Linked DNA regions of Macaca mulatta. The protein of the gene in region 2 purifies or fractionates together with the protein of the main gene of each other region. This does not show direct contact. Links are inferred from orthologs where the notes say so. Each region holds a gene or a part of one and is shown on either strand. Other genes may lie near its edges.

Region 1 (4,487 bases), on a different chromosome or scaffold from region 2:
ACAGTATGGTTATCATGGGATATTCAGTAAGTTTTAGTGGTTCTGTAAAAAAATTAGTTAGATGATGTCTAAATATGTTTGTCTGAGTTTCCACTGCTGATCCAGACTTCAATCTATCTCTAGCCTGATACATTTATCAGAATTTTGTTGTTGGCAATAGTCTCTATATTCTTGGAGAAATCACTTTTCTTTCGTGAAGAATCGGTATTATATATCTCCCTTTCTACTTTAGAGACAAGAGTGATTAAATTAATGCTGGTAAAGCTTTTGTCGTTTGATTTTTTTGTTATTTTTATCGTTTTCTTTTCACCCAAATATTTCTTCTGGCTGCCTGTGGGAAAATATTACAGCTATTAACCTTTTAGTTTTTGCCTATATACAGATACACAGAACACTTGGAATTTGGTAATATCTTTCCCCTTATTTATCCTCATTTTGAAGTTTTGCTTGAAATTCAGGGAGATATTCAAAAGAAGGATTTTAACTCAGAGAAAATGTTCAACAACTGAGATTATCTGAGAACAGATCTTTTATTCTTCCTACAAATGAAATCTGGCCAGTTAGCATCATTAACAAGTACAAATGTTCCCATAGAAGTAGCTTGTTTGGGCTACAGGGAAACATGAAATCAGTATTTGTCCTTTTTAACCATCTTATAGCTAAACCTTAGCTTCCTAAAGTAAGGGTAGGCTATGTAGTCTTAATTGCCTGTGTTTGTTTCTTAGGGGGAAGAAATTTGTGGCAATGAAAGTAGTTAAAAGTGCTGAACATTACACCGAAACAGCACTCGATGAAATCCGGTTGCTGAAGTCAGTGAGTATTAGATTATATGTATGAATGCAAAGAATTATAAATATATCAAGTTTCATTGAATTAAAGCACACCAAGTGGAGACTCCTCAGCATGGATAATTTTCTCTATAAAGTTCTAGTATCCTTAAAGAGGTTAAGGAAGACAACAATATTTACACATTCCATGCATGTAGTAGGGAACTGGTGGGAAATGCTATGATTAGAATTCTTACACACATGAACCAAAAAAAACCTTTCAAATGAATAAAAATATTCACTGAGCATGTTTTACAGGCCAGGTAACTACTGTCATAATGTTTTTCTTTCCTACTATGGTTAAAAGGAAAGTTGTGTAAATAAATGTATAGCATCTTTTTTGTTGTTTTCAAATATGTTATAGAATACATAATATAAAAATACTGTATTTACTGATTCCATTTATACCTGGAAACTGAGATAAATTCTATAAAAAATGTACTTTTAATTTTGTTTTAAATTAGGAATATGCCATTGTGGTAGAAGGAACTTAAACTCAGAATTAGAAAACCTGGGTTTAGGTCACCTTTACCCCGATATGTTCTCCATGTTACCGTGTTTTTCTTTCTGAGTTTTAGATTTTTTATTCATAAAGTGAGAATGTTGCACCAGGAGATTTCTATGGCAGTACTTTTCTTATTTTCGACTCCTGGCCTCAAGTGATCTGCCTTATTAGCCTCCAGAGTAACTGGGGTTACAGGCACAAGCCACTGCACCTGGCTTAAGACAGTACTTTTCAGAATGTCCGTTTGTGACAAGTTTAGGAGCCTTGTACCTACCCAAAAGTAAATACTGTTTTCTTCATTGAGAAAGTTTTTCCATGAAAAAAAAAATGTTGGCTGAAATAAACAGTGCTGTTGGTGCTATAGTTGATTCGCATCCTGCAAAAGCTGCTTAGTTCCTCATAGCCTGGTAATCTGCAGTTAATTTGGAGGCCACACTTTGATATCAGGGAGCAAAATAGTTTAGCAAAATTAGAAAAATAGTTCCTGTTGGTTGTATTTCCTCTTATGAATTGACTAAGATTTTTCTCCATTAAAGCTATTGAAATTTTAGTATATTTTAAAGATAGATTTATGTGAGCTCTTTCTTGTAGTTAATTTGCTGTAAGTATTCTTCCCATACCATTTGGCTTATTTCCATGCTTTACTCTCTTTTCCCCACTACAGGTTCGCAATTCAGACCCTAATGATCCAAACAGAGAGATGGTTGTTCAACTACTAGATGACTTTAAAATATCAGGAGTTAATGGAACACGTATCCTTTTAAAAACCTATTTGAGAATAAATCATCCCAATCCCAAAGAAAGGAACTAGATTTGTTGTGTAGATGGCCTTGGTGTCTTTTCTCAAGGCAAACTATAATAAAATTACCTCTTTTATTGTACACTTCTGAACACAGCTCTGAATTTTGTCTGATTTTGTGTGGTGTGATTTTTCAGGATATTGCTTTAAGTTTTTTGTCCCCTTTTCAGGCAATTAGACCGAAATCAAAGAAACTTTTAGAAAATGCCTTGTATCACCAAGTAAAGAATCTATGATTTTTGTTAGCACAGAAACCTTAAGGGAAGTAATTTATTATGAAAAATAGTGTGTTGGCTGGGCATGGTGGCTCACACCTGTAATCCCAGCACTTTGGGAGACCGAGGCAGGTGGATAACCTGAGGTCAGGAATTCGAGACCCACCTGGCAAACATGGTGAAACCCTGTTTCTACTAAAATACAAGAATTAGCTGGGCGTGGTGACAGGCTCCTGTAATCCCAGCTACTGGGCAGGCTGAGGCTGGAGAATCACTTGAACCCGGGAGGCAGAGGTTGCAGTGAGCCGAGATTGAGTCCACTGCACTCCAGCCTGGGCGACAGAGCCGGACTCTGTCTTAAAAAAAAAAAAAAAAAAAAAGATACTGTCTAAAAGAAAGAAAGAGAAAGAGAAAGAAAGGAAGAAACTGGGTAAACAATTTAAAGTATGATTGTATTTATTATACTAAGCCTCAACTTTGAAGAGGCTGTGAATGTAGATTATGTTTAGAGTCTAAAAGGGTGTAATTATTCGTGTTCTGTTATAATGAAAAACTGACTTGTTTTATGTTTTTATCTGGATTTTTAGAATTGTAGAATTGGAAGGAACTGTAGCTGATTTTCTTCACAGGTATCAAAGTGATGTGCGGTGGGCTAATTGAAAAGTTGTTGAAACAGCTATGCTTATAAAGGTCAATCAGATTTTTCAGTAAAAGTTGAAGTCGAATCTTACTTAGATTGGAGAATCTAAAATACCTGTTTATAAGCTAGTCTTAAAATGTATAAAGACATTTCATATATTATTTTACTTTTCATGCATGTTTAGCTTCCTTTAATGCACATTCCTAATTGCTGTTGATCTTTTTTTATTTAAAGGAGACAGGATTACATGTGACTGTAGTTTCATGTAGACTATGGGAAGAGATTTGAACAGAGAAGCAGGAAGGAAGTTGGAAAGGAGAGAAAACAGTTGATAATGTGGAAAGACTATTGTTCTAAAGTCAATTCTGAGTCATTTCTTAGAAAAATACAAATCACAGATCCCCCAGATGTCTAAGGAAAACTGCTGCAACCATCTTAAAACAGTATCTTGTGCTTATTGTGGTCATTTTGTAGATGGCTTTCTCTCTCTCTCTCTCTCTGTTTTCAAAGAATTAATAATTCTAACCAAGAAATTTTTAAAAAACACACACAGGGTGTCATGATGGCCGTATCTGTTTTTTCTATTATTTAATCTTGTAATGTTTTTCATTGTGCCAGATTTCTTTACTAATTTGCGAAAGTTCCAAGTAAAACTATAGAAATACTCTCAAATCTCCCCGGTAATGCTGAGTACCTTTATTTGACCCTAACTAAGCAAAGAAGGCTTTTTAACTATTGAAATATCTTAGTATGTTTGAATTTCAAGTTCCAAGATATTTTTCTTTTCTTTTTCTTTTTTTTTTTAGATGGAGTTTCATTCTTGTTCCCTAGGCTGGAGTTCAATGGCACGATTTCGGCTTGCCATAACCTCTGCCTCCCGGGTTCAAATGATTCTCCTGCCTTAGCCTTCCAAGTAGCTGGGATTACAGATGCATGCCACCATGCCCAGCTAATTTTGTATTTTTCATAGAGACGGGGTTTCTCCATGTTGGTCAGGCTGGTCTCACACTCCTGACCTCAGGTGATCTGCCCGCCTCGGCCTCCCAGAGTGCTGGGATAACAGGTGTGAGCTACTGCGCCCTGCCCTCAAGATATTTTTCAAACATTGCTAGGTGATTTCTCTGTAGCTTCTGTCCATTGATTCCCTATTTTCTTTTCTCCCTTTGTTCTTAGCCATTTTTTCCTTTCTTCATCTTTATCTCCCAGCTGTCTTTGCTCCTGCATTAGTTACTACTATTAGAGATTGAAAGGATATAACTCAGAACACTATGTTAAGGGTTAGTAATGGCTCATGTCACTCTCCTGCTCCTACCCATTTTCCCAACATAACATACCCACACAGAGCTGTACATTCACATTCGTGTGTTTATGTTTGTTCAGGCATTTTTTTCTCTGGACCACTATCGTTTCTCATATTAAAATATAAAGGACACTAAACTAGAAAGTTAGTTCTTACAGAATTCCATGTAAACTGGCTCACTCTACTTGCCTGGAGGGTGAG
Region 2 (4,487 bases):
CTGCAGTATAGTGGCATGATCATAGCCCACTGTAGCCTCAACTTCCTAGGCTCAAACTGTCCTCCCACCTCAGCCTCCCTAGTGGCTAGAACCACAGGCACACTCCACTATGCCCACTAATGTCTGTATTTTTTGTAGAGATGGGGTTTGGCCATGTTGTCTAGGCTGGTCTTGAGCTCCTGCGCTCAAGTGATGCACCTACCTCACCCTCCCAAAGTGCTGAGATTGTAAGTGTGAGCCACCACACCCAGCTAAGACAGGGTCTTGTATCTTACCCCAGCTGATCTCAAACCCCTGGGCTCAAGTAATCCTCCTGCCCCAGCCTCCCAAAGTGTTGGGATTACAGGCATGAGCCACTGTGCCTGGCCACATTGTATTTATTTATAAGATTAAGTGACCAAGCTATATGCACCACAAAAACAGGGACCATATCTGTTTCTTTTCACGATTGTATTCTCAGAACTATCACAGCGGTTAATAAATTTGAAGCATAGATGGATGATAGATGGAGAAAAGTGAGTCTCAGAATATATAAAGGTGGTTGATTTCTATCTCTCCTCTAGGTACAAAGACAAAGAAACAAACTACATTGCCATTTAAGCCAATCAAAAAAGGAAAGAAGAGAAATCCCTGGTCTGATTCAGAATCAGATAGGAGCAGTGACGAAAGTAATTTTGATGTCCCTCCACGAGAAACAGAGCCACGAAGAGCAGCAAGTAAGGAAAACTAAAGAACATTATAGATAAGCTGTAAGAGTGGAATGGCCAATATACTTCAGGGTACTTTGCCCCAGAAATTACTGTGTCTTAATAGAGCAGTAAATTAAAGTAAGTTAAAGCTTTGAAACACTGAAGCATCTTTCAGGAGATTAAAAACTAAAATATTCATGAAATGTTATATCAACCTATGAATTAAGTGTTTCTCCTACTACCCTCTGATTTTTTGTATATGTTTTTTTACTAGCAAAAACCAAATTCACAGTGGATTTGGATTCAGATGAAGATTTCTCAGATTTTGATGAAAAAACTGATGATGAAGATTTTGTCCCATCAGATGCTAGTCCACCTAAGACCAAAACTTCCCCAAAGTAAGTATCTTTTCTAATATGGGTTTTTGTCATGATTGTTTCTAATATATTGTTTTTTGCTTAACACCTTTAGAATTGGTTGTCAGGATTTTTTTTTTTTTAATTCTAGACTTACTAACAGAGATCTGAAACCACAGAAAAGGGCTATGTCAGGTATGTATCTAAGTAAAAGCAGTGAGACATCTGCCTTACTGGGACACTCAGATCCAACTGGGTTCTAATCCTGGCTACATTATCCAAGTACTTCCTTTGGAAATAAATTTGAGTTCTTAATAACATTATGTTGACACTGTTCGTTGGGTTTAGTTTCACATGTAAATAGGTACTGCATTCAGTATACTAAAAGTAATCATAGTGCTTGCCAGGTACTTTGCTAGGTGCTAGAGATACAAAAAATAAAAACTGTTCTTGCTGATAAAAAATTCAGAAATTAGAACAAAGTTTTAAGAGTATGTTTTAGGCTGGGCATGGTGGCTCACACCTGTAATCCCAGCACTTTGGGAGGCCGAGGTGGGTGGATCACCTGAGGTCAGGAGTTCGTGACAAGCCTGGCTAACACAGTGAAACCCCGCCTCTACTAAAAATACAAAAAATTAGCCAGGCGTGGTGGCGGGCACCTGTAGTCCCAGCTACTTGGGAGGCTGAGGCAGGAGAATGGTGTGAACCCGGGAGGCGGAGCTTGCAGTGAGCCGAGATCAAGCCACTGCACTCCAGCCTGGGCAACAGAGCAAGACTCCATCTCAAAAAATAAAAAAAAAAGTATGTTTTAAATATTCCAGAAAAGTCACATATTTGGTGTTTAAATAGGAATTCATACCAAGCACAAAGCAGAAAATGGATTTTCATGTGTTGGCTTAAATGTACTATTTTCCTTTCCATTTGAAATGATAGACCTTGAAGCTGATGATGCTAAGGACAGTGTACCACTGTCTTCAAGCCCTCCTGCTACACATTTCCCAAATGAAACTGAAATTACAAACACAGTTCCTAAAAAGAATGTGACAGTGAAGAAGACAGCAGCAAAAAGTAAGCCTAAATCTTTGAGATGGGTTAATGTTGCAATTAACTAACTGGTTTTCACGTGGCAATTTCAATTTTTTATTGCCAAAACTTACTGTTGATATTACAAATTAAACCTTTTCCAAATGGAAGCAATTTCTTTTAGATCTTTATAATCAAAATTAGTAGTCAAGGCTGGTCCTGATTGTTCATTCAGTTACAGATCAAACTCCTTGTTCTACTCTTTTCCCTCCTTCTCACTACTGCACTTGACTAGTCAAAACACAAAACAAAACAAAAGCCAGGCAGAGTGGCTCATACCTGTAATCCCAGCGCTTTGGGAGGCTAAAGCAAGAGGATCGCTTGAGGCCAGGAGTTCAAGGCTGCAGTGAGCTATGATCAAGCCACTGCACTCCAGCCTGAGTGAGAGAGTGAGACCCTGTCTCCAAAAATAAGGTAGTCCAAATGTTTAAAATCAGCGTGTTTCTCTCAGTACCAGGCTTCATCTAGTTCATTTCTATGACAAGGATAGGATTTATAAGCAATTGCAAATGTTTAATGTAAAACATATTCTTAAAATTGAATGTTTAAGGCTGGATGCAGTGGTTCATGCCTGTAATCCCAGCACTTTGGGAGGCCTAGGTGGGTGGATCACCTGAGGTCAGGATTTCGAGACTAGCCTGGCCAATATAGTGAAACCTCGTCTCTACTAAGAATACAAAATTAGCCAGGTGTGGTGGCACATGCCTGTAGTCAGCTACTCGGGAGGCTGAAACGGGAGAATCGCTTGAACCCAGGAGGCAGAGGCTACAGTGAGCTGAGATCGTGCCACTGCATTCCAACCTGGGCGAGATAGAGCAAGACGCTATCTCAAAAAAAAAAAAAATAGAATGTTTAAGAATACTTTGATTCTCTATTTTCACCTCTCTTAGATTGTCTTTTCCTATGTTAAATATACACAGTCATCACATTGCTGAAGAAAGTTCACAATGAGAACAATTCATCTAAGAGTGGCTATGACTAGGTCGGGCGCAGTGGCTCATGCCTGTAATCCCAGCACTTTGGGAGCCCAAGGCAAGTGGATCACCTGAGGTCAGGAGTTTGAGACCAGCTTGACCAACATGGTAGAACACCATCTCTACTAAAAATACAAAAAATTAGCCAGGTGTGGTGGCACGTGCCTGTAATCCCAGCTACTCAGGAGGCTGAGGCAGGAGAATCGCTTGAACCCAGGAGGCAGAGGTTGCAGTGAGCCAAGATAATGCCATTGCACTCCAGCCTGGGCGATAGAGTGAGACCCCATCTCAAAAAAAGAGCGGCTGTAACAAATGCCTGTATTGAATTGCAGGTCAGTCTTCCACCTCCACTACCGGTGCCAAAAAAAGGGCTGCCCCTAAAGGAACTAAAAAGGAACCAGCTTTGAATTCTGGTATCTCTCAAAAGCCTGATCCTGCCAAAACCAAGATTCGCCGCAAAAGGAAGCCATCCACTTCTGATGATTCTGACTCTAATTTTGAGAAAATTGTTTCAAAAGCAGTCACAAGCAAGGTGAGTGTTGATTCTAGTCAGTCCTTTTGCTGTAGGTGTTCTGAAACACGTAACTAAGCCATTGCTCTTAATAATTTGGCATGTCGCCGGGCGCGGTGGCTCAAGCCTGTAATCCCAGCACTTTGGGAGGCCGAGACGGGCGGATCACAAGGTCAGGAGATCGAGACCATCCTGGCTAACACGGTGAAACCCCGTCTCTACTAAAAAATACAAAAAACTAGCCGGGCGAGGTGGCGGGCGCCTGTGGTCCCAGCTACTCCGGAGGCTGAGGCAGGAGAATGGCGTAAACCCGGGAGGCGGAGCTTGCAGTGAGCTGAGATCCGGCCACTGCACTCCAGCCTGGGCGACAGAGCCAGACTCAGTCTCAAAAAAAAAAAAATAAATAAATAAAATAATTTGGCATGTCTTTAAGAAAATTAACTCTCATAATCTGTTAGCTTTTACTGTACATATTTAGTTTTAACAAAGTTAAATAATGTCACTTATTTGGGCAATGGAAGAGTTGGCTTTAGATCTGCTTTTTATTACTTAGTAGAAAGTAGAAAACTCCTTGAATGTAGTGTCTTGATACATTTTTTTAACATTACAATTATGTCGTCAGATTTACATTGTACAAATTACCTGGGCTTTTCTCTTTTAGAAATCCAGGGGGGAGAGTGATGACTTCCATATGGACTTTGACTCAGCTGTGGCTCCTCGGGCAAAATCTGTGCGGGCAAAGAAACCTATAAAGTACCTGGAAGAGTCAGATGAAGATGATCTGTTTTAAAATGTGAGGTGATTATTTTAAGTAATTATCTTACTGAGCCCAAGACTGGTTTTAAAGTTACCTGAAGCTCTTAACTTCCTCCCC
Region 3 (4,487 bases), on a different chromosome or scaffold from region 2:
GAGATTTGCTTACAGAGAAAATCTAAGAGTATCAAAACAAAAACTTAGAGCGGGAAGAGTTCAGTTCACTGACCAGATATAAGATAAGCATACAGAAATCAGTAACTTCTATAGTGATAGGAAGGTGTAAAATGGATTCTAATAGCAATAAAATAACTTAGGGATAAACTGAACAACAAAAAACAGTATCTGGCTGGGCATGATGGCTCACGCCTGTAATCCCAGCACTTTGGGAGGCCGAGGCGGACAGATCACTAGGTCAGGAGATCGAGACCATCCTGGCTAACACAAACAAAATACAAAAAATTAGCTGGGCGTGGTGGTGGTCACCTGTAGTCCCAGCTACTCAGGAGGCTGAGGCAGGAGAATGGGGTGAACCCAGGAGGCGGAGCTTGCAGTGAGCCGAGGTCATGCCACTGACCTCCAGCCTGGGCGACAGAGCGAGACTCTGTCTCAAAAACAACAACAACAATATCTATGAAATCTACATGAAGAAAACCTCAAGCTTTTCCAAAGGACATGAATAAATGAAGAAACATTACAAGTTAATTCTAACTTTCAGCTGGAAGAATAAATGTGAATGGCTAAGATAAATTTGAAAATAGAATGAGGGGCTTATGTAATTGGATTTTGTAAAACTATAGTAAATGAAACCAGTGTGATATTGCAGCAGGAATAGATAGCTCATTGGAACAGAGTGGGTTCTGGTACATACGAGTTAACAGGTTAAATAGGGAAATCTTGAAGGAAGAGAGTTAGTAATGCTATTAGGATAGTTATCGACTTATGTGTTGAAAACTTGGTGTGTAACACTTATAACTGGGGCCGGACATGGTAGCTCACCCCTATAATCCCAGCACTTTGGGAAACCAAGGCGGGTTGGTCACCTGAGATCAGGAGTTCGAGACCAGCCTGACCAACATGGTGAAACCCCATCTCTACTAAAGATACAAAAGTTAGCCAGGCGTCGTGGTGTGTGCCTGTAGTCTCAGCTACTTGGGAGGCCAAGCCAGGAGAATTGCTTGACTCTGGGAGGTGGAGGTTGCAGTGACCCACAATCGTGACACTGCACTCCAGCCTGGGCAACAGAGCGAGATTTCATCTCAAAAGAGAAACCAACAACACTTAAGAGTGCAGTGCTTGTTTTTGTTTGTTTGTTTTTTCCTTAAAATTGGGAAATTTTTTAAATTTTTCAAAACAAACATTGAAACATTAGTGAATGTTCAAAGCGCTTTTTGGGGCAGGGGGTGCGTGGGGGACAGGGTCTCTCACTCTGTCGCCCAGGCTGGAGTGCAGTGGTGTGATCATGGCTCACTGTAGCCTTAAACTACTGGGATCAGGTGATCCTCCCACTTTAGCTGCTCCTCATGTAACTGGGACTACGGGCATGTACCACCACACCCATCTAATTTTTGTATTTTTTGTAGAGACAGGGTTTTGCCATGTTGCCCAGGCTGGTCTCGAACTCCTGACCTCAAGTGATCTGCACACGCCTTGGCCTGCCAAAGTGCTGGGATTACAGGTGTGAGCCACCGCACCCTGCCCTCAAAGCACTTCGTAGAATCAAGTTTGAAAGTCACTGTTTTAGTATAAGGTATCCTGCAGGGGACTAAAGGATGGATAATGGGAGGATGATAGATGAGAGGCCCTTCGAGCCTGGCCTGTCTAGAAAACCCTAATGATAGGAAAAGAGGATGAGTGGAATTAAAACATGTATTCAGTAACTCAGGATTTGGAACAAATTGATCTGTAAATAGGCATGGATTAGTTTTAAACTATTACGGAAAATTTCAAACATGTAGAAGTAAAGATTGTAATACATCCTCATGTGCCTACCACCCAGCTTAAACAGTTACTAGTCACATGCAATCTTTTTTTTAAGACAGTTTTGCTCTTGCTGCCCAGGTTGGAGTGCAATGGCATGATCTTGGGTCACTGCGACCTCCACCTTCTGGGTTCAAGAGATTCTCCAGCCTCAGTCTTCCGAGTAGGTGTGTGCCACCATGCCTGGCTAATTTTTGTATTTTTAGTAGATAGGGGGTCTCAGCATGTTGGCCAGGCTGGTCTTGAACTCCTGACCTCAGATGATCCGCCCACCTTGGCTTCCCAAGTAATGACCAGTCTTGACTCATCTACACCCGTATTCATTTACCCACTTCTCTTAGATAATGATAAGGATTCGAGAAGCAAAGTTTACAAATAATGAAGAGAGAAGGTTATCTTTTAGACTTCTTCTGTATTCTGAATTTCAGTGCTCCAAAGCTAAGCTTTTGTGCCTAACCTACAGTGCTCATGTTACAGTCTGTGTTAACAGAAGTTAAAGTTTTGTTTTCATATTTCAGGTCAGCAAATTAAAACGTCACATTCGCTCTCACACTGGAGAGCGTCCATTTCAGTGCAGTTTGTGCAGTTATGCCAGCAGGGACACATACAAGCTGAAAAGGCACATGAGAACCCATTCAGGTAGGACTTCTCCACTCCTTACTGTATTAATGAGCTGCTTTTCAGTGAATCCCATGGGACCCTGTGGACCACTGTGTGCCCCCATTGTTTATGCAAATGGAAGACTGGCATGAAAATAGTATGGAATTGATTAATGCTTCTCTGGCATATCCTCTGAATTCATTGTTCGGAAAATACATTAGAAAATAGTACCTTTTGTTTTGTTCAACTTGAATCTGCCTATAACAAGAAAATAATACTTTTTAAGGGAGAAATTAAGTTAAAATGGACAGATTTTAATTTTGAAAGTCTGGGTGGATTTCCTAACCCACCTTATTCAGTTTTCCTGGATACTGCCTTTTCTTAAAAAGAAAAACTTGTGGGTTCCCCATTCAGTCTTCCCCAAAGGTAAGCATTGCTGTAATGTGGAGGATTCCAGAGCAGAGCTGGACAGAGCAGAGGTGGCCAGTAGCAGTTTAGGACTTGGCCATGTCTGAAGATAGACATGATCTGGGCACTGGGACTGAGCCTCAGCCTTCCTGAGACCTGTAGATTCTCTGTGATGTAGCATATCTGCCACCTGAGTTACCCTCCAATTAAATTACAGTATTTATTCATTTCATTTAATGTGTTCAATTCTGTATTTTCTTTAAAGGAGAAAAGCCTTATGAATGTTATATTTGTCATGCTCGGTTTACCCAAAGTGGTACCATGAAGATGCACATTTTACAGAAGCACACAGAAAATGTGGCCAAATTTCACTGTCCCCACTGTGACACAGTCATAGCCCGAAAAAGTGATTTGGGTAAGTAGATCAGTGACAAGTGAAAAACATATTTTGAAGGATTTATATTTTGAAATATGGGGATCATAAATAACTTCACCTTCTGACTCTCATACATTTTATGTATAGGAATGGCCTGTCACTTAGTAAAAGCCATTGCTTAGCTACTTTTTTTTTTTTTTTTTTCCTGTTTCTTCTTTTTCTTACTGTAGTCAGGCCACAAGATTCTGTCCTGAATAAAACTCATCTATAAGTTAATGGGAGCTGTGATGGGAGGAAACAGAGTACACCTTTTTTTTTTTTTTTTTTGAGACGGAGTCTCGCTCTGTCGCCCAGGCTGGGGTGCAGTGGCCAGATCTCAGCTCACTGCAAGCTCCGCCTCCCGGATTCCCGCCATTCTCCTGCCTCAGCCTCCCGAGTAGCTGGGACTACAGGCGCCCGCCACCTCGCCCGGCTAGTTTTTTGTACTTTTTAGTAGAGACGGGGTTTCACCGTGTTAGCCAGGATGGTCTCGATCTCCTGACCTCGTGATCCGCCCGTCTCGGCCTCCCAAAGTGCTGGGATTACAGGCTTGAGCCACTGCGCCCGGCCCACCTTTAATTAGTAGCCCTCCTTCCCCAAATAGGAAAGTAACATAGTGTAATTCAAACTCAGGTCATTCTATTGTATTTTTTTGAGAACATCTGTACTTTCTCTAAGTAATGGGACTATTTTATTGGTTTAGTAGCAACTGTTTTTCTGTGCATAAACTAGAGTTTACATAGATATGGAGTTTATTAATAATATTTAGGCCGGCACGGTGGCTCACGCCTGTAATCCCAGCACTTTGGGAGGCCAAGGCAGGTGGATCACAAGGTCAGGAGATCGAGACCATCCTGGCTAACAAGGTGAAACCCCGTCTCTACTAAAAATAAAAAAAATTAGCGGGCATGGTGGTGGGCATCTGTAATCCCAGCTACTCGGGACTCTGAGGCAGGAGAATGGTGTGAACTTGGGGGACGGAGCTTGCAGTAAGCCGAGATCGCACCACTGCACTCTAGCCTGGGCAACAGGGCGAGACACTGTCTCAAAAAAAAAAAAAAAAAAAAACACATTTAGTGTAACTCATACAGAAAGATAGTCACTTGGATTGCCTGCTGTGTTTTTTTTATTCAAAGCAGAAATAAGTATTGCCCATTGTTTTACTTTTTTGCTCATTGAATTTCACAACAACCATATGAAGTAATGAAGGCTCATCTTACTCTGATTTGATAGGTGATAA

The links.
Region 1: the proteins of TOP2A (region 2) and SRPK1 fractionate together in Homo sapiens (co-fractionation; 3 studies listed by BioGRID and IntAct, with this or other methods). This does not show direct contact. The link is inferred for Macaca mulatta from reciprocal best matches to the Homo sapiens genes TOP2A and SRPK1.
Region 3: the proteins of TOP2A (region 2) and CTCF purify together in Homo sapiens (affinity purification with mass spectrometry; 3 studies listed by BioGRID and IntAct, with this or other methods). This does not show direct contact. The link is inferred for Macaca mulatta from reciprocal best matches to the Homo sapiens genes TOP2A and CTCF.

What each region holds. Positions count from the first base shown.
Region 1 is NC_133409.1:146,368,180-146,372,666, forward strand, and holds part of SRPK1 (SRSF protein kinase 1), read left to right. Parts: coding exon 1-26; intron 27-725; coding exon 726-813; intron 814-1,996; coding exon 1,997-2,084; intron 2,085-4,487. UniProt on the Homo sapiens protein: Serine/arginine-rich protein-specific kinase which specifically phosphorylates its substrates at serine residues located in regions rich in arginine/serine dipeptides, known as RS domains and is involved in the phosphorylation of SR splicing factors and the regulation of splicing.
Region 2 is NC_133421.1:64,769,706-64,774,192, reverse strand, and holds part of TOP2A (DNA topoisomerase 2-alpha), read left to right. Parts: intron 1-563; coding exon 564-716; intron 717-963; coding exon 964-1,087; intron 1,088-1,196; coding exon 1,197-1,240; intron 1,241-1,978; coding exon 1,979-2,113; intron 2,114-3,434; coding exon 3,435-3,634; intron 3,635-4,274; coding exon 4,275-4,403; 3' UTR 4,404-4,487. UniProt on the Homo sapiens protein: Key decatenating enzyme that alters DNA topology by binding to two double-stranded DNA molecules, generating a double-stranded break in one of the strands, passing the intact strand through the broken strand, and religating the broken strand.
Region 3 is NC_133425.1:63,169,578-63,174,064, forward strand, and holds part of CTCF (transcriptional repressor CTCF), read left to right. Parts: intron 1-2,342; coding exon 2,343-2,463; intron 2,464-3,097; coding exon 3,098-3,247; intron 3,248-4,487.